4 linked regions of the Arabidopsis thaliana genome follow. The protein of the gene in region 2 interacts with the protein of the main gene of each other region in a pairwise test. Each region holds a gene or a part of one and is shown on either strand. Other genes may lie near its edges.

Evidence for each region.
Region 1: the proteins of RGLG4 (region 2) and UBC30 interact in a two-hybrid assay, tested with the Arabidopsis thaliana proteins (one study listed by BioGRID).
Region 3: the proteins of RGLG4 (region 2) and ATUBC2-1 interact in a two-hybrid assay, tested with the Arabidopsis thaliana proteins (one study listed by BioGRID).
Region 4: the proteins of RGLG4 (region 2) and GRXS17 interact in a two-hybrid assay, tested with the Arabidopsis thaliana proteins (one study listed by BioGRID).

What each region holds. Positions count from the first base shown.
Region 1 is NC_003076.8:22,725,238-22,733,232, reverse strand, and holds UBC30 (ubiquitin-conjugating enzyme 30), read right to left. Parts: upstream 4,219-7,995; 5' UTR 3,990-4,218; intron 3,501-3,989; 5' UTR 3,478-3,500; coding exon 3,408-3,477; intron 3,237-3,407; coding exon 3,109-3,236; intron 2,970-3,108; coding exon 2,865-2,969; coding exon of another isoform or gene 2,832-2,864; exon of another isoform or gene 2,601-2,831; intron 2,413-2,600; coding exon 2,269-2,412; 3' UTR 1,918-2,268; downstream 1-1,917. Other genes in the region: AT5G56160 (Sec14p-like phosphatidylinositol transfer family protein), read right to left, coding at 1-145, 230-329, 413-695, 783-789; AT5G56140 (RNA-binding KH domain-containing protein), read right to left, coding at 5,301-5,450, 5,533-5,676, 5,759-5,875, 5,952-6,065, 6,478-6,623, 6,981-7,066, 7,581-7,771. UniProt on the Arabidopsis thaliana protein: Accepts the ubiquitin from the E1 complex and catalyzes its covalent attachment to other proteins.
Region 2 is NC_003070.9:29,858,830-29,867,140, forward strand, and holds RGLG4 (Ca(2)-dependent phospholipid-binding protein (Copine) family), read left to right. Parts: upstream 1-1,661; 5' UTR 1,662-1,982; coding exon 1,983-2,177; intron 2,178-2,424; coding exon 2,425-2,509; intron 2,510-2,596; coding exon 2,597-2,737; intron 2,738-2,814; coding exon 2,815-2,928; intron 2,929-3,000; coding exon 3,001-3,098; intron 3,099-3,170; coding exon 3,171-3,250; intron 3,251-3,341; coding exon 3,342-3,447; intron 3,448-3,526; coding exon 3,527-3,654; intron 3,655-3,767; coding exon 3,768-3,885; intron 3,886-3,963; coding exon 3,964-4,020; intron 4,021-4,110; coding exon 4,111-4,194; 3' UTR 4,195-4,487; downstream 4,488-8,311. Other genes in the region: CYP79C1 (cytochrome P450, family 79, subfamily C, polypeptide 1), read left to right, coding at 1-343, 435-708, 964-1,334; AT1G79390 (centrosomal protein), read right to left, coding at 4,636-4,815, 5,247-5,447; CHX2 (cation/H+ exchanger 2), read left to right, coding at 6,163-6,321, 6,424-7,407, 7,631-8,311. UniProt on the Arabidopsis thaliana protein: Possesses E3 ubiquitin-protein ligase in vitro.
Region 3 is NC_003070.9:17,026,967-17,034,775, reverse strand, and holds ATUBC2-1 (Ubiquitin-conjugating enzyme family protein), read right to left. Parts: upstream 3,566-7,809; 5' UTR 3,440-3,565; coding exon 3,410-3,439; intron 3,311-3,409; coding exon 3,207-3,310; intron 3,117-3,206; coding exon 3,014-3,116; intron 2,751-3,013; coding exon 2,687-2,750; coding exon of another isoform or gene 2,634-2,686; exon of another isoform or gene 2,270-2,633; intron 2,104-2,269; coding exon 2,015-2,103; intron 1,905-2,014; coding exon 1,809-1,904; 3' UTR 1,507-1,808; downstream 1-1,506. Other genes in the region: AT1G45063 (copper ion binding / electron carrier protein), read left to right, coding at 1-680, 1,123-1,441. UniProt on the Arabidopsis thaliana protein: Accepts the ubiquitin from the E1 complex and catalyzes its covalent attachment to other proteins.
Region 4 is NC_003075.7:2,515,069-2,523,259, forward strand, and holds GRXS17 (thioredoxin family protein), read right to left. Parts: upstream 4,995-8,191; 5' UTR 4,857-4,994; coding exon 4,686-4,856; intron 4,604-4,685; coding exon 4,529-4,603; intron 4,035-4,528; coding exon 2,814-4,034; 3' UTR 2,528-2,813; downstream 1-2,527. Other genes in the region: AT4G04940 (transducin family protein / WD-40 repeat family protein), read right to left, coding at 139-221, 307-482, 865-1,108, 1,217-1,420, 1,514-1,614, 1,749-1,776, 1,859-1,984; ALN (allantoinase), read right to left, coding at 7,233-7,364, 7,466-7,564, 7,703-7,813, 7,889-7,999, 8,072-8,191. UniProt on the Arabidopsis thaliana protein: May only reduce GSH-thiol disulfides, but not protein disulfides. Participates probably to the maturation of iron-sulfur proteins and to the regulation of the redox state of the BOLA proteins.

The sequences.
Region 1 (7,995 bases), on a different chromosome or scaffold from region 2:
GCTCTATAGTAGTAACCTCCATAAGTTTACCAGGATGAGCTTTTCCAAGTCTCTCGATATAAATAGGTCTCCCATCTTTATCAACTCCATGATACCCTTGAGGATAGTGCCTTGTCACTTCATCCAACTCTTTGAAATTGAAATCCTATTTTATCAATTTGTAAAATGTTGTTAGTTCCACAGCAAGATGCTACTACTCTGAAACCACAGCTGAAACCATATCTCGTACCTGTATAATGCGATCGGTTCCAAATTCTTTCCTCCATTTAAGCATTTCCTCCCATGCCGTGACAGTTTTCTCGATTTTGAATTCCATTGTTTTCAGAAACCTACACAGAGACACAAATAAAAAAGTCTTCAACTTTCCAGTTGTATATAAGAAAAGAAGGAACTTTGGTAGCTCATTTCATACCTCAACAACATATGATAATCATCATGTACTGGAGGCAACAAATCTTTCTGAAGAAGTTGTTGACGCAATTTAGAAACAAGCTTCTCCTCTTTCTCATCTCTAACATCTTCAATCAAAGGAATCTGGAAATCGATTTTACGTTTGCCTTTTCTCATCTTCAAAGGATGTGTAAGTTTAGTTGAACAACTAAAAGCCTTCTTCTTCAAATTCCCAATTCTAGAACGCCGTGGCTCTTCTTCTATGTACTCAGAATCTGATAGTTTCTCTCCTGTTTGTTCTCGACCTGTAGCAATATATTCCATATACATCAAAAACGAAGCTAATTTCACAATCATTTCACTGATCGATTTTATCTCTTCTCAAAATTTACCTGACATTCTTCAGAATCAAGTTCAAGTTCTTCAAACGCGAAATTCACGAACTGTAACGGATAGAATCTCTCCTCTGAAGCAAAATTTAAAGGTCGAAATCAAAACTCCGAGACCTAAAAATTCCTCCAAAAGGAAGGAAAAGCAATGCAGAAGGAAATCGACAAAAACCCTAATGAATCCTTAAAGTGTTTAACGAAAGGTAAATTACAAAGAGAGAAGATATCTAAAAATAGGAAGAATAGTTTGTAACAGAGAGAAAAAGCCAAGGAGATAAAGATGGCGATAGACAGTTATACCTCTTTCTATATACAGAGAGATCTGTAGAGAGAGACAATCAAATAGATTCCAGAATCTAAAATTTCTCAGATGATCTGTAGAGAGATTTGAATTTTGAGAAAATTAAGAGGATTTTGGTGCACTCTGTTTCTTTTTAAAAAGTATTTGAGGGCTCTGTTTTCTTAACACCATGAAATGGCCGACATGTCTCATTCCAAGTTTTATTAACTCCTTCCACGCCTTTCTTTTTTATATGATTGCATCAATCCGACGTCGTTTTGGTTTATGTGAATCGAATCGACGTCGTTTTGGGATCAATTTGGTAATAAATTGCTTGCGCACGTTTTCTTCTGCGGTTTTTGCATCGCGTGTATTCGTGTATTTCGCATTAACTGTTGAGTTACACTGTTACCTCATGCGTTTCTTTCTTAAATGTCATCAATATTTGAAGCTTCGTATGGTCGACCAAACTTAACCGAATTCAACATTTTGATTTAAATTTATAAACACTTCTTCTTCGAATTTATTTATTTCCCCCCAAATAATCACTTGTTTCTGATGCACATCAGACCTCACCCAACCAAAAACGCGTTCTAATGGTGAAGTCACACGGAATTCATTTTTTTATTTAACAGCTATATACATTATGTATCTTTGTCAGCTATGAAAAAGACCGAATAAGTAGCTAAATTCGTAAACCAGTTAAATATAACTTGTTCCAAACCCAATTTGAAATTTTCAAATAAAAAAGAAAGAGAAAACCGTACAAATGGATCAAGTCAATAGTCATATTCAGTTGTTATTCTATTCTCAAGACTTTTATAGTAGTTTGCCAATAGGAATCTAACACCGTATAAACTTGTCACGATCACCAAAATGTGTTGGTCCAACTCCAATCTAATTTCACAATCACTATTATGCGCAAATGTTTTATTATCTGCAAACTTATGTGATATTCTTCTACACTACTAGCAAGGGACTCATCATGATAGCGGATTATTGGCTTAAAAGCATTTGCAAGATCTCAATGTTTCAAATAAGGCATAAAGCTCATGTACACACCCAACACACAGCTTCAAGATATAATTAAAAAAAAAAAACTAATAAGCAAAAGTAGCCAAAGTAAAAGCCAAACTGAGTTTTTTTCTTTCTTTCTTATTTCTCCTGTTTAATACGCAATGTACTGGTGGTGGGTATTATTGCTTGTTATCATCCCATTGCATACTTCTGAGTCCAGGATTGAGCTGTGGACTCGTACTTGACTCGGTCTGTCTTGTAGATGTGCGCTATTTCAGGAACCAAAGGATCGTCAGGGTTTGGATCCGTCAGCAATGAGCATATCGACAGAAGAACCTGCGGAAATTGCACCACCAACTTTAGTTCTTCAGCTTATATGCAAATAAAAGATTATCATTGTCTCGCTAATGAGAGTCATTAAACAAATTAAATCTAGATAACATGTCATCAACAGCGATAATGAAGGCCTTTAAACATTATAACATAATGTAACACTCCTATTAAAAGAGATAACTAGAATTTACTTGACTAATCCATATCACAGCATTTAGACAAGGGTACAAATAACAGAGCTCAATCTTTTATGATAATGGCCTTGACTATATCCAAGGGATTGCGATGTTGTTTGTTCATAAAACCAATGTAAAGAGAGGTTGGTCAAAGAAGATAATCACATCAGAGAACGAACTAAGACATGACCATTTAACTAAGACATGGTCACAAGAAGGTGTGGTGGAAAATAGACTAATGCTATACTAAAAAGTAAGGAAGTGAAACAATTTGATCACCTTGGATACGGTAAGTGCAGGGCTCCACTGCTCTTTCAGAATGTCAAGACAGATACTTCCATTACTGTTGATGTTTGGGTGATAAACCTTGGTCCGGAAGGCAACCTGCATCATAAACAATGAAGGTTTATTGCCACAAAAAGCCTACTTGATTGAACACTCTCTCTAAATCATAATGGTGTGGATGAACAAATTCATTAAGCTACACAAATAAACATAACAAAAAACAAAAAACTTCTGTTACCTTTGGTGGCTTGAAAGGGTAATCTGGTGGGAAGTGAATGGTAACAAGAAACACACCTCCGGCAAACGGGCTATCTGCTGGACCCATGATAGTTGCTTGCCATTGGAACATATCATCTCCCGTAGGACCTAATAACATCACCAATTCATTAAAATCTAAATAGCTCATAATGTATCTTAAGGACAAAAAAAAAAACATTCTCCTAAAACTGATTCTGAGGTTAATGCTACATCATCTACTGAATCTATCAAAGTGGTTCTTTAAATTTCACAGTAGATATCATAGATTAAAACACTCACCTGCACTGCAGGACACAGGAGGATCTCTTTGCAAGTCCCTAAGCTCTTTGTTAATTCTTTTCGACGCCATTGAATAGTCCTAGCTTCTGCTAGCTAGGAACAAAATCAAATCAAAAAAATTACTATACTGCTACAAGTACAGATGCAAAAGCAGTACACAGCAAAAACCAGTTAACATATGGAGCAAGAACATAGCTATCCTAAAAGGAAAGACTTTATGCAAATCAGCTTTGATAATTAGCCTAAGATACACCTCCTGAAGAAATCAACCAGAAAAATCTCGAAATCAAACACTCAAGCCCAAGAGACAATCCGATCAGAATTCGATCAAACAGAGAGAAAATCAACGAACAATTCAGAAACAGATCAAGCAATTACGCATCAGTTAAAGGTAAATCATCAGAAGTAGGTACGAGAATATTCTAGAACCAAGATAACAGAAAAAACACATGGATCGACGCAAGGAAACAAAACCGCGAGAGAATCAAACGACGAAGATCAAGAACTGGGAAACGAATAAACCCTAAGAGTAACGATGATTCAAATCGAAATCGAGATTTATCGGAGCTAATTTTGACCTACCTTTTGTTCGGTTTCTAGGGTTTTGGATTTGATGATCTTCGGAAATCTCAAGGGGTTGTTTTGAAGATGAAACTTGTTAGCATCGATACGGTTTATATAGATTCCTCTCTTTCGAGCGGTGAAGCTTTGCCACGTAGCGAGCTAGATTCTGTACTTATGGGCTATAATAAGGCCCAATCGTTTACTGACGGAGCCCATTGACTCTTTTGTCCATAATAAGAAACGTTATGCAAATTTGGAAAAAGAAAATAGAAGAAGGATTAAACAAGAAATTTTCAAAAAAGAAACAGGAAATCAAAAGAAAATGATATTTATTTCAGATTGCAAAGATTTGGTACCTTAAGGGGAAAAGGGAAAAGTGGAAAACTTATCACAATTTTTTTTGACATATGTTCCTTTTGTTCTTAAAAAACTTTCTTATATGAAAAGAAAAACACTTTCTTATATGCAAATAAAATCTATACATTACAAAAATTGTTATGCATTTGCATATTACTAATAAAGTAGTATTTGTGAATGGTAGATTTCATATGTAAGATGTTACTCTTACCAAATTCGATAGGATTTTAAAATTATCTTTTATATAAAGTACATAACAATTTTTGAATAGGCCTTTTTTGTAAAACAGTAAAGGAAAGCTACCTTGCATCACAAGAAACTAGGTTATAAGGGTCACAGGCCATTAAACCGATTGACATATGGGTATACTAACCGATTTACTTAAATATATAGATCTGTTTAAAGTTTAATCAAGTAATCTTTCAATGTTGAAAACAGAGTTGACATGTAATAGAAAATGTCGACTTCCAGTAATAAAAATGTGAAAAATACTCGAGAACAGAACATTTGCTTTACATAATTCCACATATCATATTGAAACAAGCTTTACTTTGACGTTTATGTATCCAAAACATATTATGATTATTATCATTACCAATACCAGACACAAACCATCATCATGATTTAATGTTTTCTTTTTGCTAAAACAACAAATAAACAAAAAACTTAAAAGAAAACTGTTGGAACCCAACTTTCCAGACATAAAAACATAAACAAAAACAAAATCAAAGTCTCGGAGAGAGACAGAGACTCATCAGCTCTTGTGTTTCCGTTGCAATTTTGTCATCTGATCTCTCTCCGGGACAATGATACATAGACTGACAAACACATTTCATAAATCATATATACAACATTTCTACCCCAAGGACAAGAGACAGTACCGTGTCGTCAAGAGTGGTATGGCCTTTTTGTGTCGACTTTTGGATCGGTTTCATATTGCTTTATGATCACAGCCAAACTGTTCGATGGTTTTTACCCTTCTCTTGTTTTGGCTCTCTTCATACCAAGGCTATTGTAAGGAGAAACAGAACCGGACATTGGAGATCCTTCTTCACGAAGAGTTCCATTGAGCAATGCTAGCTCGCGCAGCTGTTGTTTCTTGTACATATCATGGGTTTCCTCCTATAAAACAGAAACCGAGTGTGAAAACTTTGTAACAATAACTGGTTTAAAATCAAAGGGAGGGGGAGAGCTAAAAACAAACCATAGGAGTAAGAAGATCGTCAAGTATTTCCCGAGCTTGCATGAGCCGTGCATCGACTATTTCAATCGGTAATTCTGCTTCCACTAAGATATGAAGTGGTTCATTTAGGTGCTCGTATCCCGGTTTTCCTCTCATCATTTCCTCCTACAAGAAGAAATATATTAACACCTTGTACAAACATTGAAATGTAGATACAAATGAAGTTGTAAAGTTTAATAATAAATACCTTAATTGGATCTTTTATACTTCCTCTTCCTCTTATAAGAACACGGCAATCAGTACTTGCTTCAACTCGCTTCAGGGAGTTTCCTCTAGGACCCAGGAGGCGACCAACAAAATTGAACTGCCATATAGAAAATTAAGGAGTTACATTCCAACCAGGAAGTAGTATATCTCAGTGTAGAAATGAAAGTTCATACATTCGGATAATTGTCGACTGGAATATCGACCCTGATTGTACGCTTGGCGATGAGACCGGACGAACTACCAGGTGAGTTAAGCCAATTTGGTCCCGGAGATGATGGAACAGATCTCTGCAAATGATCAACCAACAAAATTAGAAGCAAGATCAACCTTTAAGCATAAGCACATGAATACTGCAACTTCTTGCCCTGGAACTTCATTCAATGAGAGTGGTCACTGTATCAAGGCATTTCAACCTGTAGCTGTTATATCCTAATAATATGCATACAGTGACCACAGATATATGAGAAAATTATAGCATTAATTTCAATCCTACTCGTGAGGATAGTGGAGTATCTAATTAGTGTTGATCTAAGGTATGAACATACAAACATTACGGATATGAAGTGTTAGCCTACCTGTCATGATAAACTAGGACTAAAAGCAGTCAAATATGTTATGTCAGTATTATAACTTAAGTCAATAAAACTTCTATTGCAGTAGTATGAATTAGAGAGTTATGTTAATGGTTAGTAGTCATACTTCTGATGGAAACTGGGAGGCCCATCCATTCATGTCAGCTCTTGCATTCTGAAATATCCCTCCAGAAGCCAGAGGGCTAGGGTGGTCAAGCCCACTCTGACTTAAAACTGTAGCATTCTCCAACAGTGTGGTTACACGCAAAATTTCTGTTCCAAAAATGTCAATTTGCAAGAGTAAGACGCACCAGTTAGAATTAGTCAACAAATCAGTCACCAAGACACCAATGAATGGAGAGACAGCATAGTTAATTGAGTTAGCTTAAAATATATTTTTGCTCTCACTCTAGTTAAATACACTCTGGTTAAATAGAATGAAGTCAGTATAAGAAATATAGAATTAGTCATTTCGTGATCTACTTCTAATAGCTAACAATTAGGTCTCTCTTAGCAGTACTGTTTAAGAGTTTATCAACTGTATTATAGCTTCATGAATCTGAAGCAAAGAATGAAGTATTATGTGAGATGAAAATACAAATAATAAACAACAAAAACAGTAATGCTCACCTTGGTTTAGTAGCCGAAATGCATGTGGAAGCACAGGCAGGAATGGAGTAAGCTTATGACGCTCTGCAAGTAACTCTGAAAGATACCTGCCAAAACAGAAATTGTGCAGAGTATCCAAATTAGTAAAAAAGCCTCAAAGACACATCAAACTTACAAACAGATACACTCAAATTCACTCTAAATCGATACAACCAGATTCAAATTTCCATTCTTTTGTGAAGTGGATCTAGTCAATCTTCCAAAAATCGTATTTTTTTTAACAGTTTCATCAGCCAAGAACAGAAATCAACAATAACAGAAACGAACACAACCAATGAAATGATCCTCACACACTAAAGACTTATGCTTTACAAAAAATGAACTGGATTGAGACAAATCTGAAATAGACTGAGCTAGTTCCGAAACATAGATCCTAATATAATCAAAAGAAAACAAAAAAGACAAAAATCCAGATTCGAGATACACTATTAAGATCTAAAAATCAAAATCAGCAAAGCAAAGATCAACATACTTCATCAGATACATCAGCTAATTATAAAAGATCACCAAACAATAAAAAACAAAAATATAAAAGAAGATGAAAAACTAAGATTCGATTACTTCTCTTGCTCAACGAAGACAGAAGACTGTGATCGGAGACCACCGGAGTAATTAGGAGACTGAGGAGCAGAAGGAGGCACCGAAAGAGACGACGAATACGTCATAAACCTCCCTCCGCCGCCACCACCAATACCACCACCACTTCCTCCTCCTCCACCACCACCACCACCAAGCGACGACATCATCATCATCTCGAAGACAACAGAATCAGAGTAAATCTGTCGGAGATTAGAAGAAGAAGAAGAAGCGGCGGAGGCAGAACCAAAGCTGTTGTTGTCTCTCTATAACGTCGGTGGATTTAAGAGGTCATTTTATAGAGACTGTGAAATGATTACTTGTTGTTTGCTTAGCTGTTTTTTTTTTCACCTTTTTTCTTTGTTTCATATTTTACCCAATTTTACCGCTCTTCTTGTTA
Region 2 (8,311 bases):
GAGTCTCGGACTTATGGAGAAAGAACATTTTGACGCAATTTTCGCGGCTCTTGATTGTTTCTTTAGCTTTTACGTAGCCGATTACTACCCTTTCTTAAGAGGATGGAACCTCCAGGGAGAGGAGGCTGAGTTAAGAGAAGCCGTTGATGTGATTGCTAGGTACAATAAGATGATTATCGATGAGAAGATAGAGTTGTGGAGGGGGCAGAATAAAGACTACAATCGTGCGGAGACGAAGAATGATGTTCCTATGATCAAGGATTGGCTCGACATTCTCTTCACTCTTAAAGATGAGAATGGGAAGCCGTTGCTTACCCCGCAAGAAATCACACATCTCTCTGTGGTTCGTGATAGAAATATACTCATATAATTACTACCAATTAGTTTGTATATTATATATCTGATAAGTTATGGTTTCTTTTTGGTTTTGGCAGGATCTTGATGTAGTAGGGATTGATAATGCAGTGAATGTAATAGAGTGGACACTTGCGGAAATGTTGAACCAGAGAGAGATTCTAGAAAAAGCGGTGGAAGAGATCGATATGGTTGTCGGAAAAGAAAGACTTGTTCAAGAATCCGACGTACCAAATCTAAACTACGTCAAAGCTTGTTGCAGAGAGACCCTGAGACTTCACCCTACCAATCCTTTCCTTGTCCCTCACATGGCACGTCATGACACAACTCTCGCTGGCTATTTCATCCCAAAAGGTATCTCATTTTTCCCCAAAATTTATGCATTTAGGCGTATTTGACTCCAACTCCTTAAATGTAGAATCAGGAATTCTAACTATATTTATTTTTGCTTGATTTGAGCAATATTTTCATATTAGAATATTTGTTCCTTTGATTTATTATTTTGGACTGAAAAGTGAAAATAAGTAGATTGTGACATACGAATCTTTCAAATTATTATTTTATTTGTTTATTAACTTTAATATATTGATTGTTTGATGTGGATCACAGGCAGTCATATTCTAGTGAGTCGTCCGGGTGTTGGTCGAAACCCTAAGACATGGGATGAGCCACTCATCTACAGGCCTGAGCGCCATATAACCGGCAACGAAGTGGTGTTGACTGAACCAGACTTACGACTTGTTTCATTTGGAACTGGTAGACGCGGCTGCGTTGGAGCTAAGCTTGGAACGTCCATGATTGTTACGTTGTTGGGTAGGCTTCTCCAAGGGTTCGACTGGACCATTCCTCCTGGTACGACGGACAGAGTCGAGCTAGTCGAGTCAAAAGAAAATCTGTTCATGGCTAATCCTTTGATGGCTTGTGTGAAGCCCAGATTAGATCCAAACATGTACCCGAAACTCTGGACCGGTCCAGCTTGATCATACCGGTTAACGGCACCACATTTCAATTGCTATTGTCATGTATGAGTAAAATTTGAATAAAGTTTTTGTCTTGAGGAAAAGTTGAAGAGGAATATAGCCCATAACGTTCATAAAAGGCCCAGCCCAGTATTGTTCTGCCGTTTTAATTTGAGCAAAGTAAGCTTCAAGTAAAGAAACGGGTTGAGTGCAAAAATGGAGAAATTAACTTGCAAGTTGAGATTAGCACATAAGAAGAGTATCTAATTCCATCTTGTTCACAAAGTCATTCTTTTAGCATTAATGATCCTATATTTATATCAAATCTCATAAGATCTTCAGTGTATAATATATAGTTTAATTTTTTTCTAGGTTTTCGTTCGAACTCATGTGGGTTCAGTAAATAAATGTTTAAGTCCCCATCTGGCCGCGTCAAAAATACTTAGATAACAACAATTAGTGGTTGACATAGAAAAGTAATGATTGTTGCCGCGTAGAATGAAATTAATAAAATTATAAAGAACAGTGAAGCAATAAATGTTTCCTTGGCGTCTTGAAGAGTAGTCTTCTTAAATATTCCAGCCCAAAAAAAAAAAGATTCTATCCATTATCAAGAGAAGAAAAAAAATCTGAATTCCAATTCGAAGAAGAAGAAGAAGAAGAAAGGAGATGACTATGGGGAATTTCTTAAAGAGATTTGGAAGTGGAAAAAGCAGAAGCAGTAGAAATATGACTCTGGGAACGACGTCGTCTCAATCTCATGAACCATCACCGTCGGATCCTTCACTCTCCCTTGCCGATAATACCAACGCCACCAAGAAGAAGTACGCTCTCATCCCTGACCGCTTCTCTTCCCTCGACCAGGTTCTCTTCTTTTTTGTATCTCTCAATTTCTTGTGTTGACTTGACTTTTGGTTCACCATGTCTTCTGCTACTTCCATGTTCTTTGAGTTCTTCAAAAGTCTAATAGATGTATATGATTATTTTTTTTCTCCTCCATTCATTCGTTGACATTGGGACATAAAATGATTTTGAGTAAAAAAATTGTCTGGAAACTAATTAGAGATGGAGAGTTGTTACTGAGTGTTAACTAGTGAATGGTGTTTAAAAGGTATCAAAAGCTCTAAGAGAAGCTGGTCTTGAATCATCCAATCTCATTCTCGGAGTTGATTTCACAAAGAGCAACGAGTGGACTGGTACCTTCAGCAAATACAACTTATTGTTAAATTCACATATATATTTTTGCAACTGTAAACAAAAAAGTGGTTAACGTTCTGTTTCAGGGAAAACTTCTTTCGATGGAAAATGTCTGCACGCGCTCGGCGAAACTTCGAATCCATATGAAAAGGCGATTTTTGTAATCGGCCAAACGTTGGCTCCTTTTGATGAAGACAATCTCATCCCTTGTTTCGGCTTTGGCGATTGTAAGTTTTTCTTTCCCAAAAATATCATCTTCAGTTCACTCTCTGTTTCTAAGACTCTGTTTTCTTGCACTATCCAGCAACAACTCATGACGAGGAAGTGTTCGGTTTCCATAGCGACAATTCTCCATGTCATGGCTTCGAAGAGGTCTTAGCATGTTACAAGAGAATTGCACCCAACTTGCGTCTATCAGGTCTTTCTTTGAAAATCTAAATACTACCTTCCATAGCTTTATCACCAAATCACAACCTTCCGTGTTCAAAAGGGCCAACGTCGTATGGACCGCTCATCGATGCTGCTGTCGACATTGTGGAGAAGAACAACGGACAATTCCATGTTCTGGTGATTGTTGCAGATGGACAGGTAAAGTTACAAGCAGTTAAGAGAAACAAAGTATGATACCAAAACTTAAAAGGCTACCTTTTGAATGTTAAGGTAACGAGAGGTACGGATATGGCCGAGGGAGAACTCAGTCAACAAGAGAAAACAACCATCGACGCGATTGTAAATGCAAGGTAAAAAAATGCAGATTCAGTTTTTCATTTTTCGCAACTCGATTTGCGGTATCTAAACAAGCCTTTTTCGAAATTCCTTTATTATCTACAGCTCGTATGCTTTGTCGATTGTTTTAGTCGGTGTTGGAGACGGACCATGGGAAGACATGAGGAAGTTCGATGATAAGATCCCTAAGCGTGAATTCGACAACTTTCAGGTATCTTCCCAGTTTCTGTGCTATTTTCCATCTATATTCTCTGCTTTGAGCATCTTCTTGATCTCTGGTCTATGCATAGTTTGTGAATTTCACAGAGATTATGACGAGAAACTCACCAGAGTCTGCCAAAGAAACTGCTTTTGCTCTAGCTGCTCTAATGGAGATTCCCTTTCAGTATCAAGCAGCCATCGAACTCCGCTTACTCGGGTACTTCCATAAGTTCTCAGCATAACAGAACTACCGTCTTTCTGCTCTATTTTTTTTTTTTTTGTCTAATTGCTTCTGCTGGTCCCTGTCCACTTCTGCACCCGTCTATAAAGGAAGCAGACGGGCTTAGCGAAGACAATAGTTCCGAGGCCACCACCAATTCCGTACACACCTCCAACTAATGCTGAACTACCATCAACTGCATCACCTGCATCACCTGAACAAACCCAGGTCTCATAATTTGTATACTTTACTATTTTTCTGCCTTGTCGAATCAACTCCAATCTCATATGGTTTTCCGTTTAACAGAGTTGCCCGATTTGTCTGACTAACCGAAAAGACGTGGCTTTCAGCTGTGGCCACATGGTAAGTTTCACCGATTGCTTTTAGTTTACTCAAACCCATTCATTAATCAACAACCAGTTTTAACTTACCTTTGCAATTTTCCTTTTGCAGACTTGTGGAGATTGCGGATCCAAAATATCAAATTGCCCGATCTGTCGAGTAAGGATCACGAACCGGCTAAAGCTTTACACATGATCAATGGCCACGAACTTTTTTTCTGACCACGGCTTTACACGTGATCAATGCCAACAAACTTTATCTCTGCACATAACAAATCGCTTGCACATAGCCATCTCCTTTGTAGAATCTACAATTTGGTTTGCCAAGTGTTTCTGACAATGTTCCACAATCAGCGTGTACCATGTAATTCTGTATGTACTGTAAAACATTAACTTTGCAAACAAGAATGAAGAAGCAATGTACAAATTACAAAACATAAGTTTTACATTTTATTCATCATAACAAAAGGTTTGAAGTGATTGACATTGTAGCCGTTTGCATAGCACAAAAGTTGTGTCGCTAGATGCCGGTTTCAAAAACAAAAGATATTACGGCCAGGAAACACGCCATTTTTGTATCGACAAAAGATTCGAGTGAGAGGCATTCACTAACATTGACTCTTAAAATAATTCATCCTTACTGAGTTTTGGTTGTCACCGTGTCATCTGGCTTTGGCATTGGTTGGATTCTTTGATAAGGCTTCCTGGTAAGAGTCTCTCCCCTAAGAGCAGCAACGTATCTGTCGTTTGTATCCTGCTTCTGTTTCAACTCACCAAGATATTCAGCTAGCCTCTCTTGGTTTACTTTACCCATCATCTAACAATACAAAAACAGAAATGTATTGTTCATCATAACACAAAAAGATTGAAGATTAACAATAAGCCTAAGGTTAACATACGGCTGTGATCAATAAACTTCCAATTGAATCGACATTGTGAAGCAGAGCAAGAACTCAGATACATGAAATTCCTTGTTAACACAGAACAATGGATTGGTGTATTAGCAACAAGAAAATGCAAATGCTCAATTCAACATATCGAGGCCTAAACACCTCTAACCTCTAGGTACCCAATCCCATAGGAGCTTTGCAAAGTAGCAGAAAGAATCATCATCAAGCAAAGTTCTACTCATCCTCCAAGAAAAGTTCCACACATCAAGCAAGACAACTATAGGAACTATGTACGAACAAATTGTAACCATCAAGTTCAACACCGATTAGCATCAATAGAAGAAAACCAACTACATACGAGAGTATCTGGGCGAGCAGATTTACGGAGGCGGGCTTCGAGCTCAGGGTTACTGGAATTGGTGACCTGCATAACTCCATAGCCAATAACGCCAGGAATGACACCACATAAAGCAGCGAACGTGAAGAAGAAGGATCTCGAATCTCGCGTCTTCATCACTAGCCATCTCCATGTATTGCTCTTCTCATACATGAACGACATCTCTCTCTCTCTCTCCGTTCTTCTCACCTGGGGTTTTTAGGGTTCATGATTTGACTTACAGGTTCGCACTTTAGCGTTAATTGCAAAGAACTCCTATTTGATTATTTATTTACTTTTTGGACCCCATATTATTCTCATGTTTCGTTTGTATCCTGAACAGTATGTGTATTATAGTTCAGCCCCTATAGTTTGTTTTTTATTATGCCATGAACACTCTAGTTTTCTTTTGGTTAAACAACACCCTGTAAGGCTAAGAGGTAATTTGCAAATTGTCATTTTTACTAGCATCTGTATTATGTTTTACTTGTTTACAAAACACAAAAATTAACTTCCCATATATATACAAAAGATAAGAAATATGTTATGGACTTATGGTGTTAAATCTGTTGATTATTGACCATATAATAACCTAATTATAGTAAACTTTTTGGGTAAAATTTCTGATTACAGTCAACTTAATCCGTTTTCCAAGGGTTGAAATAGAGGCGTAGAGTAATTGAAGGACGTTCAAATAATTGTAAACACATCTATCAACTCCAACCAAATGTAAACTAATTTTTTTTTTTTTAATTTCTAAATTACTTGTGAAAATTATAAATTCTTGTTTTAGAAAGCATTTTCAGTTTTTTTTTTAACATAAGGTTTAATTTTCATAAGCGTATCATCACCATCACGCTTGAAGAATGCTCATGATCATCGAATCAAGAAGAAGAAGATGGATCCAAAGTTGTTGCTTTGCTTACCTCAAGGAGATGAACTGTTTAATCCCCTTAATACCATGTTTATTCAAATGGCTTGCATTCTCGTCTTCTCTCAATTGTTTTATCTCCTTCTTAAACCCTGCGGCCAAGCTGGTCCCGTTGCCCAGATTCTTGTAAGGAAATTTCTTTCTTGCGTTACAAGAATCACCCGGTTTTTTGTAGTGGAAAATGTCTAACAAGTTTTTGTTTTGTTATCCATATTGGATATTTTTTAGGCTGGGATTGTGTTGAGTCCTGTTTTGCTCTCAAGAATACCTAAAGTTAAGGAATTCTTCCTCCAGAAAAATGCAGCAGATTATTACTCCTTCTTCTCCTTCGCTTTACGGACATCTTTCATGTTCTTGATCGGTCTTGAAGTGGATCTACATTTCATGAGAAGAAATTTCAAGAAAGCTGCGGTGATAACCTTGAGCTCATTCGTGGTTTCCGGCCTCCTCAGTTTCGCTTCCTTAATGTTATTCATCCCTTTGTTTGGGATCAAAGAAGATTACTTTACGTTTTTCTTGGTTCTTCTCGTTACCTTGTCTAACACGGCATCTCCTGTCGTAGTCCGTTCAATCGCTGATTGGAAACTCAACACATGTGAGATCGGACGGCTGACAATCTCATGTGCGTTGTTCATCGAATTAACAAACGTGGTTCTCTACACTATAATCATGGCGTTCATCTCTGGAACTATCATACTTGAACTCTTCTTGTTTCTTTTGGCAACCGTAGCCCTAATATTGATCAACATGGTCTTAGCTCCATGGCTTCCAAAGAGGAACCCTAAAGAGAAGTACCTCTCAAAGGCTGAAACTTTAGTTTTCTTCATCTTCCTTCTCATCATCGGTATAACTATCGAATCCTACGATGTAAATTCCTCGGTTTCTGTTTTCGCCATTGGCATAATGTTTCCACGACAAGGAAAGACTCACAGAACGTTGATACAACGGCTTAGTTACCCGATTCACGAGTTTGTTCTTCCGGTTTACTTTGGTTACATTGGATTCAGATTCAGCATCATCGCGTTAACCAAACGCTTTTACCTCGGTATAGTTATTATCGTGATTGTAACCATAGCTGGGAAATTTATTGGTGTAATAAGCGCTTGTATGTACCTGAAGATCCCTAAGAAATATTGGCTTTTCTTACCCACCATTCTCTCTGTTAAAGGCCATGTCGGTCTTCTTCTTCTAGACTCCAACTATTCCGAAAAGGTACGTTTACTTATATGATTCCGCTACTTTTATACCATTCACATTAAGTCTTGTTCAATTGTAGAGTGTCTGTTATTGCACACCCACAACAAAACAACAAAAAATGTTACACATGTTTTAGGGTCTGGTATATTTTGGTCAAGAACAGACGAACAATTAACATATATAATAACAAAAACTTATGGTTCTTTTTTTCCCATTCTTTGTCTGAATCTACCTGTAGAAATGGTGGACCACAACTATTCATGATATGATGGTGGCTGCTTTGGTGATAACGACGCTAGTAAGTGGTGTTCTGGCATCTTTCTTGCTTAAAACAAGAGAGAAGGACTTTGCTTACGAGAAGACTTCGCTTGAGTCTCATAACACGAACGAGGAATTACGCATTTTATCGTGCGCCTATGGAGTCCGTCATGCTCGCGGTGCGATCTCTCTTGTCTCGGCCTTGAGCGGTTCTCGTGGAGCCTCTGATCCGTTTACACCTCTGCTTATGCACCTTGTACCCCTCCCCAAGAAACGAAAATCGGAACTGATGTATCATGAGCACGACGAAGATGGAGGCAATGCGAATGGAGATGACGAATTCGGGACCAACGAAGGTTTAGAGATCAACGATTCGATTGATTCGTTTGCTAAAGACAGCAAAATCTTGATCCAACAAGTGAAGCTCGTGACTCAGATGCTTAATATGCACGAAGAGATCTGTAACGCAACAGAGGATCTTCGAGTTTCCATTGTATTTCTTCCGTTTCATAAACACCAGAGAATCGATGGGAAGACTACAAACGATGGGGAACTGTTCAGACAGATGAACCGTAATGTTCTAAGGCACGGTCCGTGTTCCATTGGCATTTTTGTGGACCGTAACATAACCGGATTTCAGCAGCCGCACGGGTTTGATTCT
Region 3 (7,809 bases), about 13 Mb from region 2:
ACTGCCAAGGACCACCTCTATTACCATTGGACCGAGGATAAAGAGATCCACGTGGGAGATTCTTTGATCTTCGAATACGATCACAACCTCAATGACGTCACACAAGTCTCCGGTGGTTTGGAATACGAATTCTGCGACTCTTCTTTTCCTAAAGCCGTCTACAACACAGGACATGATGTCGTAACCTTCACGGAACCAGGGTCTTACTACTTCATCACCTCAAACCATACTCAATGTACATCGGGACAGAGGCTTGGCGTTTTTGTCGTCCATGACCCGTCGAGTCCGAGTCCTCTACCACTACCGAGCAAGATTATTCCTTCTAGACATGTCTACAAGGTTGGTGACTCCAAAAGTTGGGGCGTTTACGACAGTGATTTCTATTACAACTGGAGTAAAGAGAAACAGTTCAATGTCGGAGACGGTCTCCTTTTCGAATACAACAATGAAGTCAACGGTGTCTACGAGATCAGCGGTGACCTTGAATTCTTAAACTGCGACCCGACTTCTCCAATAGCCGTGCATAAGACAGGCCACGATATCATCAAGCTCACCAAACCAGGAATCCATTATTTCATTAGCTCAGAACCGGGTCACTGTGGGGCTGGTCTTAAGCTCCAAGTCGTGGTCGGAACAACACTCAATGTTCCAAAGTTGTCACCTTTAGAGCGTCTCACAAGGTGGTTAGACATTTTAAGACACCACTAAGCGTCTGTGTCATCTACTCAACCATATGCTACTTTCGTTTTCGATTGGTTTAAGATTTGCTAACTAATTACTAGTTAAAAGTCTCTTCTTTCTTATTTTTTTTCATAGTTTTGTTTATTTGTTAGTTCTGATTTTTCATCGATGTAACTGTATATGGAGTTTCTTCCCATTGTTATTTTAATAAATATTTTTTTATTGAAGTAGATTGGTGAGAATATTTAGAGGTGATCAATTTTGAAAATATCTTGAAACTCCATCAATTGAGTTTTAGAGGTGATCAATTTTAAACAACTTTTGGTCCTGTGATACTTGGCACCATCTCCACCCTACTGGTCCTAAAGTGGACTGGTATGATTAGGTGTGGTTCTCTTGAAATATTTCCCCTCATGCTTTCATTGTTTGGGTGGCCAATAGAAATCGTTTGCATATTTGTGATAGGTTTATTAGTTGGGGGATTCAGGTCCCTTCACTTTGCCTGCTCTGCAATGCGCTTGATGAGACAAGGCAGCATGTGTTCTTTGATTGTCCTTTCTCGCACGAGGTATGGTCGTTTTTCTGCTCTAACGCACGTGTTACCCCTCCAAGGATGTTTAAAGATAGTGCAAGATGGCTTAGACATCCTTGCCGGGATAAAAAGGTGGCTTTCATTCTCAAATTAGCGTACCAAGCCTCAGTTTACCATATTTGGCGAGAGAGAAATATTCGGCTCAACTCTAACAAATCTTTCCCTTAGGCTTAGGGAAGAAGTTGGTGACAGTCACCTCTCCACCAGAGAGGAAATTTATTGAATAGACAGACCCAAATCAGAAAATCAAAAATCCTAATAAATGTATATATACATTTTTAGAGACATTTGGATGAAAAAAACATTTGTGTAATAACTATTGGCATTAATGACAACTTATTGTTTAGCATTAATTGATCTTTTTGTGGACATGTTCAGTACGAAATATAGATTCCCGCTCTCAGTGTTCTCTTATGTAATTCAGAGCTCTTCACTTGACATATTCCATAGTAAGAGTGAGACAAAAAGTTAGGTTTTGACATTTTTAAATGTCATCATTAACATATTAAGGCTTCTCTTTAATCTTGGTCGTGCATCAAACCTTGTCGTCATGGAACCACCACCTCGTCTCCTTAGGAGACCTCCCATTCTTACAGTTCTTCACATAACGATCGTTATCCGCAGGGCGTTGCTGCAATAAGGCGGAATAAAAAACACATTGATATTCTTAGTTTCAGACCTCATAATTCACAGTACTTTGGGTAACTTGTCAATAGGGAAACACGAAGAAGAAGAAAGAACCTTTGCGGGTGAACTTGATAGCATCGAAAGAATGCTGATGCAGACTGAATTCACTGTCATTGCTGGTGACCATGAGTCATATAGAATATCTGATAAACCAACAACACAGCTTTTCAGTTTGATAACCATGTATTGGACTGCTAAGTCGTAAATGGTAGTAAGAGTTGCATAATTTCAGATTGGTTCAGAGCTTTTTGAGGATTTTGATTAGAGTCCAACTTAGAGGCAAATGAGTACAGACACATGAGAGCTCTATGATATCTGAAAAAGATTTCGGTTTTGGTAAAGAATACAACCTACAATCTAAGACAGACGATTCTAATGCAATTCATCATATGGTAAACGTTTAAGTAAAAGCAAACATGGAGAGGCTGCTACAACATGTCTAAGTAACTCTATCTTAAACAATGAAGTATCATAGATACTAAGGAAAAGGATCTACACGCATGGGGGTATACAATAAAAACAGTTTTGAGTGATAACACTTATCAATAATCATCAACATATCTTAAAACTCAGCAATATTCACTTTCTTGTTTGACCAGAAAACTATGAAATGCAGAGTCTAACCGATTCTACATCTACATATCAATTCGACAAACCCTTGCTTTGATCAAAACTAAACATAAGCATATGCAGAGCAGACAGTAACCAAGAGATAGCAAGCAATACCTAAACAAATATGTCCATTGCTGTATATATGTGGATGTGAAGGTGCCGGAGAAACAAACACTACCTGCTCAACACAACAGGGAAAAATAAGTCATTCTCCTCCACAGTAGCTCCAATCCAAGAGACACCAAAACATAAAACAAAAAACTTTTTTACAATAAGTTCGAATTAAAACATGAAACATCCATAACAAAGTCTCTCTACAGAAGCAAACCCAAGAATTTTATCAGTGAGAGACTTCTAGCCAACCAAAGAGACACCAAAACCAACAAAAGAACACAGTTTGATTCAAAATCTCACGAATCAGAGAAAAAAAACAAAACTTGCCTGGGGTGCTTCCATAGGGTAATGTTCAGGAAATTCAACCTGAAGCTGATAAGTCTCATTAGCGTAAAGTGTCCCTGGAGCTCCGGTAACATCTATTGTCCATCTTAAGATCACACACAAAGATACGCATTCAAATCAAAATCACAGAAAGAAAAAAAACTCATTTCAAAGACAGAGACATAAAGGTTGATACTTTTGAAGATTATCAGTGACTTTGTGACGAAATCCAGTGGGGGGATTCAATTGCCACTCAGAAAGCTCTTTCTGCAACCTATTACACGCGATCTTGCTTAAAGCCTACGCATGAATGAAAGAACACAATTTCTCAGATTGAATCATCAAAGTTTTTGTAAAGAGAAACATGAATTTGAAGACATGTGAGAGAAAGAGAGCGACCTTGCGTGAAGGAGCGGAAGAGCTGGTCATGGCGGAGATGGAGACGGAGAGAGACGGGTCTGCTGTCTGGCCTCCTTACTTTGTCTTTTTTTTTTGTTTTCTGTTTTTTGTTTTTTTCTTATGCAAATGAAGAGCTTTTTACTATTCTTAATTTTAATATTTTTGATGAATAGTGAAAAAAAATCTCAATGAATTGATTTATTTATAGAAGTGTACACTAAAATCTCTATAAATTAATAATGTTGCACTTGCAACTGATAAAAAACTATAAATTTTAAATAGTACTAATTTAATGAAAAATTAATAATTATTCATTTATAAAAATATTTTGCAAATTTGTAGTTTTTAAAAGACATTATATTTAAAAATACCCTTTTTTATAAAAAAATATCTTTCTAAAACCAATTACAAGTACAAAACAATTATTAAGTTTTAAAAAAACAAAATATTTCTTTTTAAAGTAGTAAAAATATGAAAATTAAACTTTACAAAGAATTAATATAAAATTAAGGAAAATATAAGATAACATATGTTTTTCTATTGCTCTTACTCTATAGAAGTATGGAGTTCTTTCACTGCAAGGCCCATGTTTCTCTGCCATCTTTGTTTGATGCAGGAGTCAGATGCTTAAAAATCCTAGCAGGAAGAAGAACATTGCTTTGATTCTTAAGTTGGCTTTTCAAGCGTCTATTTATCTCATTTGGAGGGAAAGAATCTCTAGACCTCACAATAACTTTTCGAGGCCAAGCTCAGCTCTAATTCAGGATATTAATAACTCTATTAGATGCCGACTTGACCTGCTATCAAGGAAGCATCACTATAATCCTCAAAGTGTTTCTCTTCTTCTAACTTGGCTTGGTATATTTCATAGATAATGTGCTCGGGTTTGGTGTCGTTTTATGTGTTTAAGGTGTTACTCGCTAATTTCTGTGCAACCCGGGAGAACAACTTCCGCCCCCCCCCCCCAAAAAACAAAAAAAACTAAAGACGGACATGCCTCAGAAACGCAATTTCGCGGTCATCATCCTGAAAAATCGTCTCAACATGTGGAACAACCTTTAACATATGAAAGGTTAATGGTAAAGTAAAAGCATAGTTTTCTAACTCATCCGCTAGGCGGTTAGCCTCCCTATATACATGTGAAGTCCAGACTATCTAGTTCCTAGATAAAAAGTCATGACACATATGTACCACGAAAGACAAGGGATGAGAATCACTAATCCCCTTGCTTAAGAATCCAACCACCAACTCCGAATCAACCTCGACCTCTAATCTTGTGATATGTCTCTCCCAAGTTAGGTAAAGTCCATAGTAAACTCCCCACAGTTCCGCTAAAGGAGCTGAACAAACACCGATATTGAGAGCAAATCCTCCACACCAACTACCTGTTGCATCCCGTATGAGTCCCCCCGCTGTAGTCAAAACTGGATTCTTGTGAAAGGACCAGTCGTATCTAGCTTTAACTACTCGTCCCGCGGTGGTCTCCACGTTACCATTCGCTCAACTCTCACACCCGTACCTATACTCTCCCGAAGTGAGTTATGTGCACGGCTTACTTCTTGTCCCAATTCTCTGGTAAACTTTACTCTTTCCCGACATTTTTCCAATTCGCCAAACACATAACCACACCTCTATTTCAAGCTCCACCAAACTCCCATGGCAAACATTGGTCGACCAAGTGCTTTCCGCCATTTTTTCCATACAGCCCAAGTTTCCATACAACCATCCCAAAAGTATCCTTAAAGAATTCTCATCTTCTCCGCGCTAATACTATTTTGTTCGAAAAAGTGTCATCAAAGCTACCGGGATGGAAAGGCTGCTCTTTGAGTTTGCAAGAAGACTAACATTGACCAAATCAGTGTTGGCATCTATATTGATTCATACCATGAGCACAATATCTTTACCAAAATCGATTGGCGATGGTTTGGATAAAGTTTCAAGAGGCTTTTTATGGGGAAGTACACCAGAAAAGAGAAAACAACATTTGGTTGCTTGGGATAGGGTTTGTCGTCCACGGACAGAGGGTGGTCTGGAAAGGATTTGAACACATCGCTTGTGACAAAGGTAGGATGGAGACTGTTACATGATCATACGTGTTTGTGAGCAAAGTATTAGCAAGAGCTCTACTGCTCCGCCTTCAGCTCCTGAATCTGAAACAAGATCGAAGAAGAACTCAGATGTAGCTGAAGAGTTAAGGAGTCAAGACGATGTCGTTGCAGTAAGCAAAGAGAAAGGGATATTGGGCCACTCACCTAACAAGCCTAATGTCAACTAAAATGAGAAGCCTAGCAAGTCTGAGAAGCCCAACAAGTCTTCTTCATCTTCTCAACGGCTAAGTCCACCTGTGCAAGAGAACAAAGCCAGAATAATGACAGAGAAGAGGAGCGCTTGTTGTACGGCTCCAATCATCACAGAAAACAGATTTGATTGCTTGATGACCTGCGTAGCATAACAAGATTGAGACATCTGTCAGTTCACAATGATTGAAACCCTAGCATTGTTTAGCTATAAAAGGGAACTTGTGATGTAACCTAGAACTCAAGTGAAATAATATCAAAAGGAAAGTCACTCAAACATTACCTAAAGTAGCCGTCTTGCTCTTACTTTCATGGTATCAGAGCACAGCGGTCTATGATGGATCAATCTATCCAACTCTACTCACCTCCTGTTCTTCACATCTCCAACTGTGTCACTGTTAAGCTCAATGAGCAAAACTACTCTCTTAAGAAGACACAGTTTGAGTCCTTTCTTTCTGGCCAAAACCTTCTAGGCTTTGTCAATGGGTCACTCAAGCCTCCTCCTGCAACAACTCCATTCAACAACATCGATGGTCTTACTATTGAGGTACCAAATCCAGAGTATCATACCTGGAACAGATCTGACCAAGTAGTCCGAGCCTGGCTGTTGGGATCTCTGAATGAAGACATCATGCAGGAAGTTGTCAACTGTGCCACCTCCTATCAAGTCTGGAATGCTTTGGCTCAACACTGCAATAAGGTATCTTCATCACGACTCTTTGAGCTACAGAGAAAGCTTCAAACCATAGATAAACAGGATAAATCCATGGAAACTTACCTTAAGGAGATAAAGAGGGTTTGTGAACAGCTAGCTTCCATAGGCAGTCCTGTTAGTGAACAGATGAAGATATTTGCTGCACTTCATGGGTTAGGTAGAGAGTATGAGCCTATCAAAACATCTGTAGAAGGTTCAATGGATACTCAGCCACCACCTACCTTTGAGAGTGTGATTTCAAGGCTGACAGGATTTGCTGATAGGCTGAACAGCTATGGTCCTGATACTGAAACTTCACCTCACATGGCTTTCAATGCTTCAAGATCAGACTCCTCTGGTTACTACAACAACAACAACAACCGAGGAAAAGGCAACTAAAGATTTGGGAGTGGAAAAAGCAAAGATTCATTCTCCACACGTGGTAGAGGTTTTCATCAACAAATTTCACAAAACTCAAATGGAGAAAGAGTCATTTGTCAGATCTGTGGCAAACCTGGTCATCATGCTTTGAAGTGTTGGCATCGGTTCAACAACAGCTACCAAGATGAGGATCTGCCAGCAGCTCTTGCAATACTCAGGATAACTGATGTCACAGATCAATCCGGTGGTGAATGGGTAGGTGACTCTGGCTCTACTGCTCACATCACCAATGCACCTCACAAGCTCAGTCAGACTCAGCTGTATGAAGGAAGTGACTCAGTAATGGTGGGAAATGGAAACTTTCTTCCCATAACACACACATGATTAGGCAGTCTTCCTTCTACTTCAGGTAACTTACCTTTAAATGATGTTCTTGTGTGTCCTGATATCTCTAAACCCTTTTTGTCAGTTTCCAAGCTCACCAATGACTATCCCTGCGTATTTCAATTTGACTGTGATGATGTTCGAATCTATGATAAGGCAACAAGGAAACTGTTGACAAAGGGAAAGCATAGTAAGGGACTTTATGTGTTGAAGGACTCACCAGTTCAAGCACTCTACTCTTCAAGACAGCAAGGAGCGAGTGAAGATATATGGCATCAACGACTGGGGCATCCTCACTCTCAAGTCCTTCAAGTGCTATCTGCAAACAAATCTATCAGTGTTGGAAATAAAAGTACCAAGATGGTGTGTGAGTCTTGCCAGCTTGGGAAAAGTGTTAGACTCCCTTTTTCTGCTTCAACTTTTTGTAGCTACTAGACCTCTAGAGAGAATACACTGTGATCTCTGGGGTCCTTGACCTATTAAATCAAATCAAGGATTCAGTTATTATGCAGTGTTCATTGATAACTACTCAAGATTTTGCTGGTTCTACCCATTAAAGCTCAAATCAGACTTTACTCATACCTTTACTGTGTTCCAAGATATGGTTGAAAATCAATATCAAACCAAGATTGGATCTTTCCAGT
Region 4 (8,191 bases), on a different chromosome or scaffold from region 2:
ATGGAATTACTTTAACAACGAATAGGGATCATAAATGCTACTTACACACCAAAATGTATAAAGTCTCACAATAACGAAAGAAAAGCTAAATGGAAGCAATCAGATAATTCAGTATGATGTGGACGTCAAGCTAATTACCTGATACATAGAGGAGGAGCACTATGCCCAGATCGGAAGCGTAATAGGCGAGGATCACCATCATTTGTGTCAAAAATCCACATCTACAGGAACGAGGCATAAAACAAATATTATATGTGGCAAAGTGGATGCAAATAGGTTCAACGGGTAAGAGGAATCTTAGCTTACTTTAAGTGAGTTATCTGCTGATGCACTCATTAGCACCGGCTCATTGGCTAAAAAGTTCAATGAGATTATAGAACTGTCATGTGCATCCCTAATGACTGACTGAAGCCTTTTTTTGTTAAGATTCCAGATGCTTATGACACCAAAGGAACCTCCAGACGCAAGAAGGGGACGTCCATCTAACATGACAGGATAAACAACACATGTTAGAACTGGAAAGTATCGAACTTCCATTAGCTATAGAACGGTTACTACCAAAAGTTACTAGTAAAATTACAACCTACACTAATGGATCTCTTGAGCCTGAAACATGTATGGACAATTCTAATTCATGAAACAATGGGTGCATAGATGGTAAAGCTATGTAATGGAAAAATAAATATTTAGCTCCACTTAAAGACAAATGGACGAAATTATTTTTGGTCACTACACTCATAGGATATCTATCAGCAAGAAAAGATTGATAAACTATTATCCGCTACGAAATTAGATTTAAAAGGTAATAAAACCAAGAAGCGCTCAAAGATTTTACAAATAGAACTACAGGGCTTAGGTGTTTACCTGTACTGAAAGACAAAGCAGTAACAGCACCTCGCGAGGCATGTTCAAATGTTACGATCTCTTCGTCCAATTTTATGTTATGTACATGGATCTTTCCATCAGCACAACCAATTGCAACAACATCCAGGGCAGGGGATGAAACACAACTGGTGACAGATGAACCCCAACCCTTAAACTGATAGAGCATCTTCTTAGTATTAATATTCCATAGCTGCAGCGGACCCTCTTGGCTCCCTACAAGAACCTACCAATGTGGTTCCAAGTAAGAGAAACATGCAAAGAGTTAGAAAGGCTTGTCAACAGAAGACACCAGGGGAAAAAAAACTGAAATCCTGAACCAAGTATGACTCACCTTGTTGAGATAGGTATCTGGGTGAACAATAGAGGTAGGGGTAAACTTTCCAGTAAGCTGAAGATTTCCAATTGGAGCTAGATGTTCTTCGATTCCTTTGAATGCCCATATGAACATATTTCCTTCCACGTCAAGACTAAGCACATGTTCTCCAAACACCAGTAGAAGATCAACTTTAGCAACATGTTTGCTCCAAGTTGCTACCTATAGATATACCCACAAGAATTCCAACTATAAACAAAGTACTCATAGATATAAAAAAAGCAGCAACTTAACTATAGTTACAATGAGATATACCTGATGAGCACGCCTAAAGACAGCGATTTCATTGCCAAACGCAACAAATGTGTAGTCTCGGTAAGAAGCTAAAGCTCTAATTTTCTTTGGAAGCTGAGGACCTTTAAGATAACACAAATTAGATTATAAGAAAATTTACACTGCATAGACAAAACCCAATTCTAAATGCATGAATTTGAGTAAGAGAATGATTGAAAGGACAAAACTTTAGGTTTCAGAAGAAGGAAAAACTTACTGATTATGACTAGATTGAGCTTGGCACACTGCAACAAGAGAACCAAATTAACAACAGAATCGAATGAATAAAGAACACGCAAGTGAAACTATGAAGATTGGGAGCGTTACATTATAAATCTGGAAAGCTTTGCCGACGCTGACGGTGACGAAAGTCTCGGTACCCAATCGCTGGACGGAGAACGGAACCGTACTCGTTATGTAACCTATTGCTCTAAACGGTTCGAAAATTCCCATCTTTCGAGTTCGAACAAGAAATTAGGGTTTCCTCGGAAAAACGATTTTAGGATTATCAAATCAAAGAAAGGTTTTTTAAGAGCTTGAGAGAGAAAACGCGGCGCAGGAGCGATGGAGGAGATACAGCAAACAAGACCTTTGGGGTTTAGGGTTTAACGAAATTTCTTTGTCCGAATTTTAATTTTATTTTCCGGTTTAAGTGTCCGCTCGGTTTATACAGGTTCTTTATTTGGTTTGGAGAATGTTAAATTTGGTTTGGTAAAATTATGGTTCGGTTTTGGCTAAAAGTCATTGAAATGTAAAACCAAAACCATTTTAGTTTAATATTTAACTAATTGTCAATATCAGTATCAATTTTAAAATTATGATGACTTTTGGTTTAAATCTTGTTTAAATGTACAAAGTCTCGGTTAATGCTCGATTGCAGTTTGGTCTAAACTCTAAACAAATGATTTCCATTCGGTTTGATTCTAAGAAATTTGAGTTTAATCACACAAAATCCCAGCCGTCGGATCTTAAGAAACTCTGTAACATAGAAAGATTGGTGTTAATCCTAGCCGTCGGATCAAGCTTTCTTTGTTTAAACCACTCTTTGTTTTGTTACTCAGTCTAAAAGCAAATGTGGTCAAGATAACCATAAATAAAGATTATGTTGATACAAAGAGAGAAAAATAGTTATGAATCTAATAGACTCAGCAATAGAAATAACAAGACAAAGCTTGAGAAGCAACAATATCAATGTTTGTAACACCTAAAACATATTATTACCATAACTGAAATGTTCTCTCTCACCAAGGCAAACCAGCAGACAGAGACTTGTATATATTACTTACTCGGATAGAGTTGCTTTGAGATCACCACTCTCACTTAGCTCCATAATGATATCACATCCTCCAATTAACTCACCTTTGTAGTATAGCTGAGGAAAAGTTGGCCAGTTTGAGAAATTCTTAATCCCTTGCCTTACTTCTTCATCAGTCAAGATATCAAACGATCCGAAACTCACGTTTTCTCCTCTCAATGCTTTCACAACTTTGGAGCTAAATCCGCATTTCGGTTCATCTGGTGAACCTTTCATGAATAGCATTACTTCCGAGGAATTGATCAGTGCCTTCAATCTATCTTCAAGACTCTGTTCTCCAGTGATCCCTTTCTCGGTCAAGACCTTTTTCAGCTCACCGCTCTTTTGCATCTCCAAGACAATGTCTGATCCACCCATAAGCTCGCCTTTCACGTAAAGCTGAGGATAGCTTGACCAGTTTGAATACACTTTAAGGCCTTGGCGAACTTCGTCATCTAAGAGGATATCGAAACTCCCAAACTCGATTTTTTCTTGGTTGAGGATTTCAACCACTTTCCCACTGAACCCACACTTTGGTTCTTCTGGTCTTCCTTTCATGAACAGCATAACTGGTTTGGAATTGACCAGACCTTCGAGCCGAGCTCGGAGGGTCTCACTTAAGCCTGTGTTTCCTGAACTAACCCCTCCTCCTTTTCCAGCTTCATCCTGACTTTCTTTTGAACCAACTGTCGTGATCCCAAGATCTTTGAAAGCATCTTTTAGTTCACCGCTCTCGTGCATCGCTATTGCGATATCAGCTCCACCAAGAAGCTCTCCGTTGCAGTACAGCTGAGGAAACGTTGGCCAGTTAGAGAATTTCTTCAAACCCTCTCGCACTTCGTTATCCGATAGTATGTCAAAACTTCCAAAATCAACGTTAACCTCTTTCAAAATGTCAACTACTTTCCTGCTAAACCCACACCTAGGCTCTTCAGGAATACCTTTCATGAATAACATGACAGGGTGAGAATTAGTGAGCTTTTCCAAACGGCTCTTGAGAGCATCGGCGGTAGATACAGGCTGAGCTCGGTCTTGTAAAGAAGCTTTCGCATTCTCCTTCACAGTTTCAAGAATCGTTGGCCCAGCAGCCAACCCTAAGCTTGCAGGAGCAGCAGGCTCCGCAGAAGTACTAGAACCAGCAACTTTGCCAACCTTATTAGCTAAACTTGATGGATCTGCACCCTCAAGTGTATCCACAGTTTTACCATCCTTCAATAAGAAAACGAATTCACAGTCAGAAGAAAGTAACAACTTTCAGAACAATCATTACAGTGCAGTGACAAAGATTCAAGCTTTGAACACACTCTCAATCCTATAAAGACAGAAAATTGCAACCAACCAATTAAAACAAAGAATCAATAAGTCTGGAGCTAAATGGATAGGCGAACCATCTTCTTCTACTACCTGATTAGATAAACAGCTTTCAGTAATCTAACAGAGACGCAAACTAATCAAAACAAAAACCCTAAATCCTAAACTTTCGATCAAAACATAGGGACAAAGATTCAAACTTTTGAACACACTCTCAATGCTATAAAGACAGAAAATTGCAACCAAACAAAGCAACATAAAGAATCAATAAGTATGACTTCATCAATGTCTTCTTCTTCTACCAAATTAGACAAACAACTTTAAGCAAAAACAAAAACCCTAAATCCTAAGTTTTGATCAAATCATAGGGAACAAAAAAAACGTAACTTTACCTTGAAGAAGACGAAATAAGGCACAGCAGCAACAGAGTAAGCCTCAGATATCTCAGGATGTTCCTCAGCTTCAACCTAAGAAGATAAAACCAATAACAGTCAAAAACCTCATTGAAAGTGATAAAATTTTGAATTGGTCAAGAGAACAGAGACGAACCCTAAAGAAGTGAGCACGAGGGAAATCAGTAGCGAGATGAGAGAAAACTTGATCCATCTGCTTCGAAGCATCACACCAAGAAGCCCAGAAGTGAAGCACGACTGGTGCGCCGCTCTGGCGCAAGTTATCAAGCTCCGCCTTTGAAACGATATCCTTCACCGTACCGCTCATCTTCGAAGAGGGAGAAGGATCTCTTAACACTTTTTTTTTGTGTTGTGATTTACCAATTTATTATCGAGCAGAATACACTCTGTTGCTGGAGAAAGAAAGGAGATTTATGTAAATATAACAAAATAAAAGGACCTAACGATACAATTAGGGTTTTTGTGTGCCCAATGTGATGCTAAAATTGCTCACTTATGTAATTTCTTTTTATAAAAATAGTAAAATTATATATGTCAGCGGAAGGAAAAAAAAATTGGAAATTAAGTAAGGTAAAAATGTTAAAATTCTAGGTGATAACAATCTTTAAAAATAAAATAATTTTGAAAAATATTAGATACATTTAAATTAAAACTACTAAAAGTAAGTTTGACTAATAAAATCTTAATCCTATTTTTTTCTTTCTAAAATTAATACTAATTAGAGGAATTGTATATATCAATCCTCATCGAATTGGATTCTCATAAAACAGTCTAAGAATTAGGTTACAATTCTTTTTTTCTCCTTTGTTTTGTATGTGTGGAATTGTTTAATTCTGTTATATTAAAAATCCACAATTATTTTAGCATTTGTATTTTTAGTTATTTTATTATACTATCTTTTTTTTTAAATGATATAATATATAAGCTTACATCATTTAGATAATTGATGCATCTATTAATTTTTGTGTAACATCACTATTTAAAATGATACAAAATTTACATCAATGGAAACTGATACTAGTTAACGACTAATCATCGACTATAAAATGTGATGTAAATGTTTACTTAATTTGTCAAAATCCTACATTTCTCCCACAAAAAAAGAGGTTTCATAGTTTTCTTACATATAGTGACCTTGGTTTTTTGGTGGTGTAAAAAAATATAAAACTTAGTATGCAAAGTTTGCCTTCATATTAATTAATGAAATTACATAATACTTTTTAAAAACAATTAATTGAAAGTCATTTTATTTAATTAACATCGATTATCCTACTATATTATTTGGGAAGTACATTTTAAATGTAACCTTTATTTTTGTAATTAATTACATGATAATGCCATTAGAAAAATTTAATCAAAAACAAAACTCTTTAATGACGTCATTAAGGTTACCAAAACTTTGATAAATATAACGTGGTCTTACCTAGATATTCCTCTGGGTATTCTTGTGATTCAATTATGTTCACGTCTGATCGGCGAAGACGTTTAATAAGGGGTTTGTTCTCGGTGAGAAACCTTTTCCGAACATAAGCATCTACAGATCGGATGTAGAACCCACGTTGAGCCATAGTTTGTTTCATATTGTCAAGAACCGTTTTCAAGCTCAATTTCTTAGGGATGTGAACATATTCTACATCCCACAATTCCTTAAGAAAAAAGAAAAAAAAGTATACTGATCCGAAAACAATTAACAAAAAGCGAACAATATACTACTACATTACCTTCATAGGCTGCAATCCACCTCTATTAGTGACCACGTTGGTGCTTAGATCTTGCATTGGAGGAAATCCTTTTGGATGAGGAGTTTTTGATTTTGATAAAAACTCATCTCTACCACGTTCAACTTCTTTCTCTTCCTGTTTCTTCACACTGCGTCTTCCCTTTCCTCCAGGTTTTCCTCTTCCTCCAACCATTGTTGACAGAATCGGCGCAAAATGAGGGTTCAGACGAAATGATGGAGGTTTGTACGTATTCTACACCCTCGGTGATTTATTATATAAATATCAATTTAAGAGAATAACCTACTCAAATCACTAACTAATCCATGATTATTATATACTCATACTTTGAGTTTGGATTACAAAAAAAATATTCGAGTATGAAAAAACTATTAAAATGGTTTTATTGAAAAATCATGTAATATTAAAATAAATTTAGTAATAGTACATTAAATATGTAAAATAAAATAATATAAAAATAAATAATAAATGTATCATTAACCTATAAATTAGAAGTTGAAGAGCTTACATTAATTATTTAATAGACACATGACAAATATATATGATTTTGACCAACTTTCATATATATGATTTTGATAAACTGATGCAAATACTTAGAACACTTACAAAAAGTGATTTAAAAAGATAACATCTTTTTTTTTAGTTGACTCAAATTAACATTAGTTACAACAAGCAATGCAAATATTATGTATACTTTTAAATTATTTGCATCAACAATATATACATCATTTACTTAAGCGATATAAATTATTTGCATCAACAATATATACATGAGTCCACTAACCTTAAAGCCAACAACAAGATTTAGAGAGTCTTAAACTTACAATTGGCAAAAAAGACTCACTCATTACATCAACCATCTTGCAACATGAGAGCAACTCTTAATCGCATATTTACATTTGTTTAAATGGTGCAGATCAAGATCTTTTAAATCCCTTTTTAAGTTAAGTAGTTGCAAGTTGCAGAGACCCGCAAGCATCAGAAGCATGCTTGCCTTCTCCAAAAACCAAGTTCCCTCTCACAAATGTCGAAACCACTTTGCCTGATAATCTTCTTCCCAAATAAGCTGAGATACTCTATTGTACACCACAAGAAGCAAACATAACATAAAGATTACACATTCGTGTTATTCGAGCTTAACCATTAGCTATCTTTCTAGAAAAAACTGTGTACTTACAGGGTGTTTGAAGTGAATTGGATGATCTTCATCTACATCAAATTCGGCTTCAGGTTCCCACACAACAAGATCTGCGTGTTTTCCAACCGTAACCGCTCCCTATAATTAAACCATTACTTATAAGCTGCGATAAATGGACCCCGAATCCTAATAAAAACACGTCTATATTATGCCAGTGTGCTGTGTATGGACAAAAAAGAGAATACTGAAGCTGCGTTTTTTTTTATAATAACGAACCTTAGAGTGTAGTCCAGCGAGTTTGGAAGGCCTATCACTCCACCAAGAAGTTACCTGCTCGAGCGTTACTCCATACTTTTTTCCATAAGACCATGTGATAGGAAGAACAAACTGCAATTGGCTCTTCCATGAGTTTTTTTGTGCTCTCACAGTTTCTACATATTACATTTTTAAGACTAAACGAACCTGTAAAGAAGATATCCCACCCCAAGCTTTCAAGAAGTTGCCATCACTCATAAGTTTGAGTTCAGGCTTTGTAGGTGAATGATCAGAGCTCAGCATATCAATGTCTCCTTCCTAATCAAATCAAAACCTCAGAATCAACGAGTAAGGTATCACAACAAAGATTGCGTAAAATATATATTATACCATCAAAGCTTCCCACAATTTTTCTCTATTTGCCGCATCACGTATAGGAGGGGAGCATTTGAAACGAGTATCACCTTCTGGAATCTCTTCGGCTGAGAAAGCTAGGTAATGTGGACATGT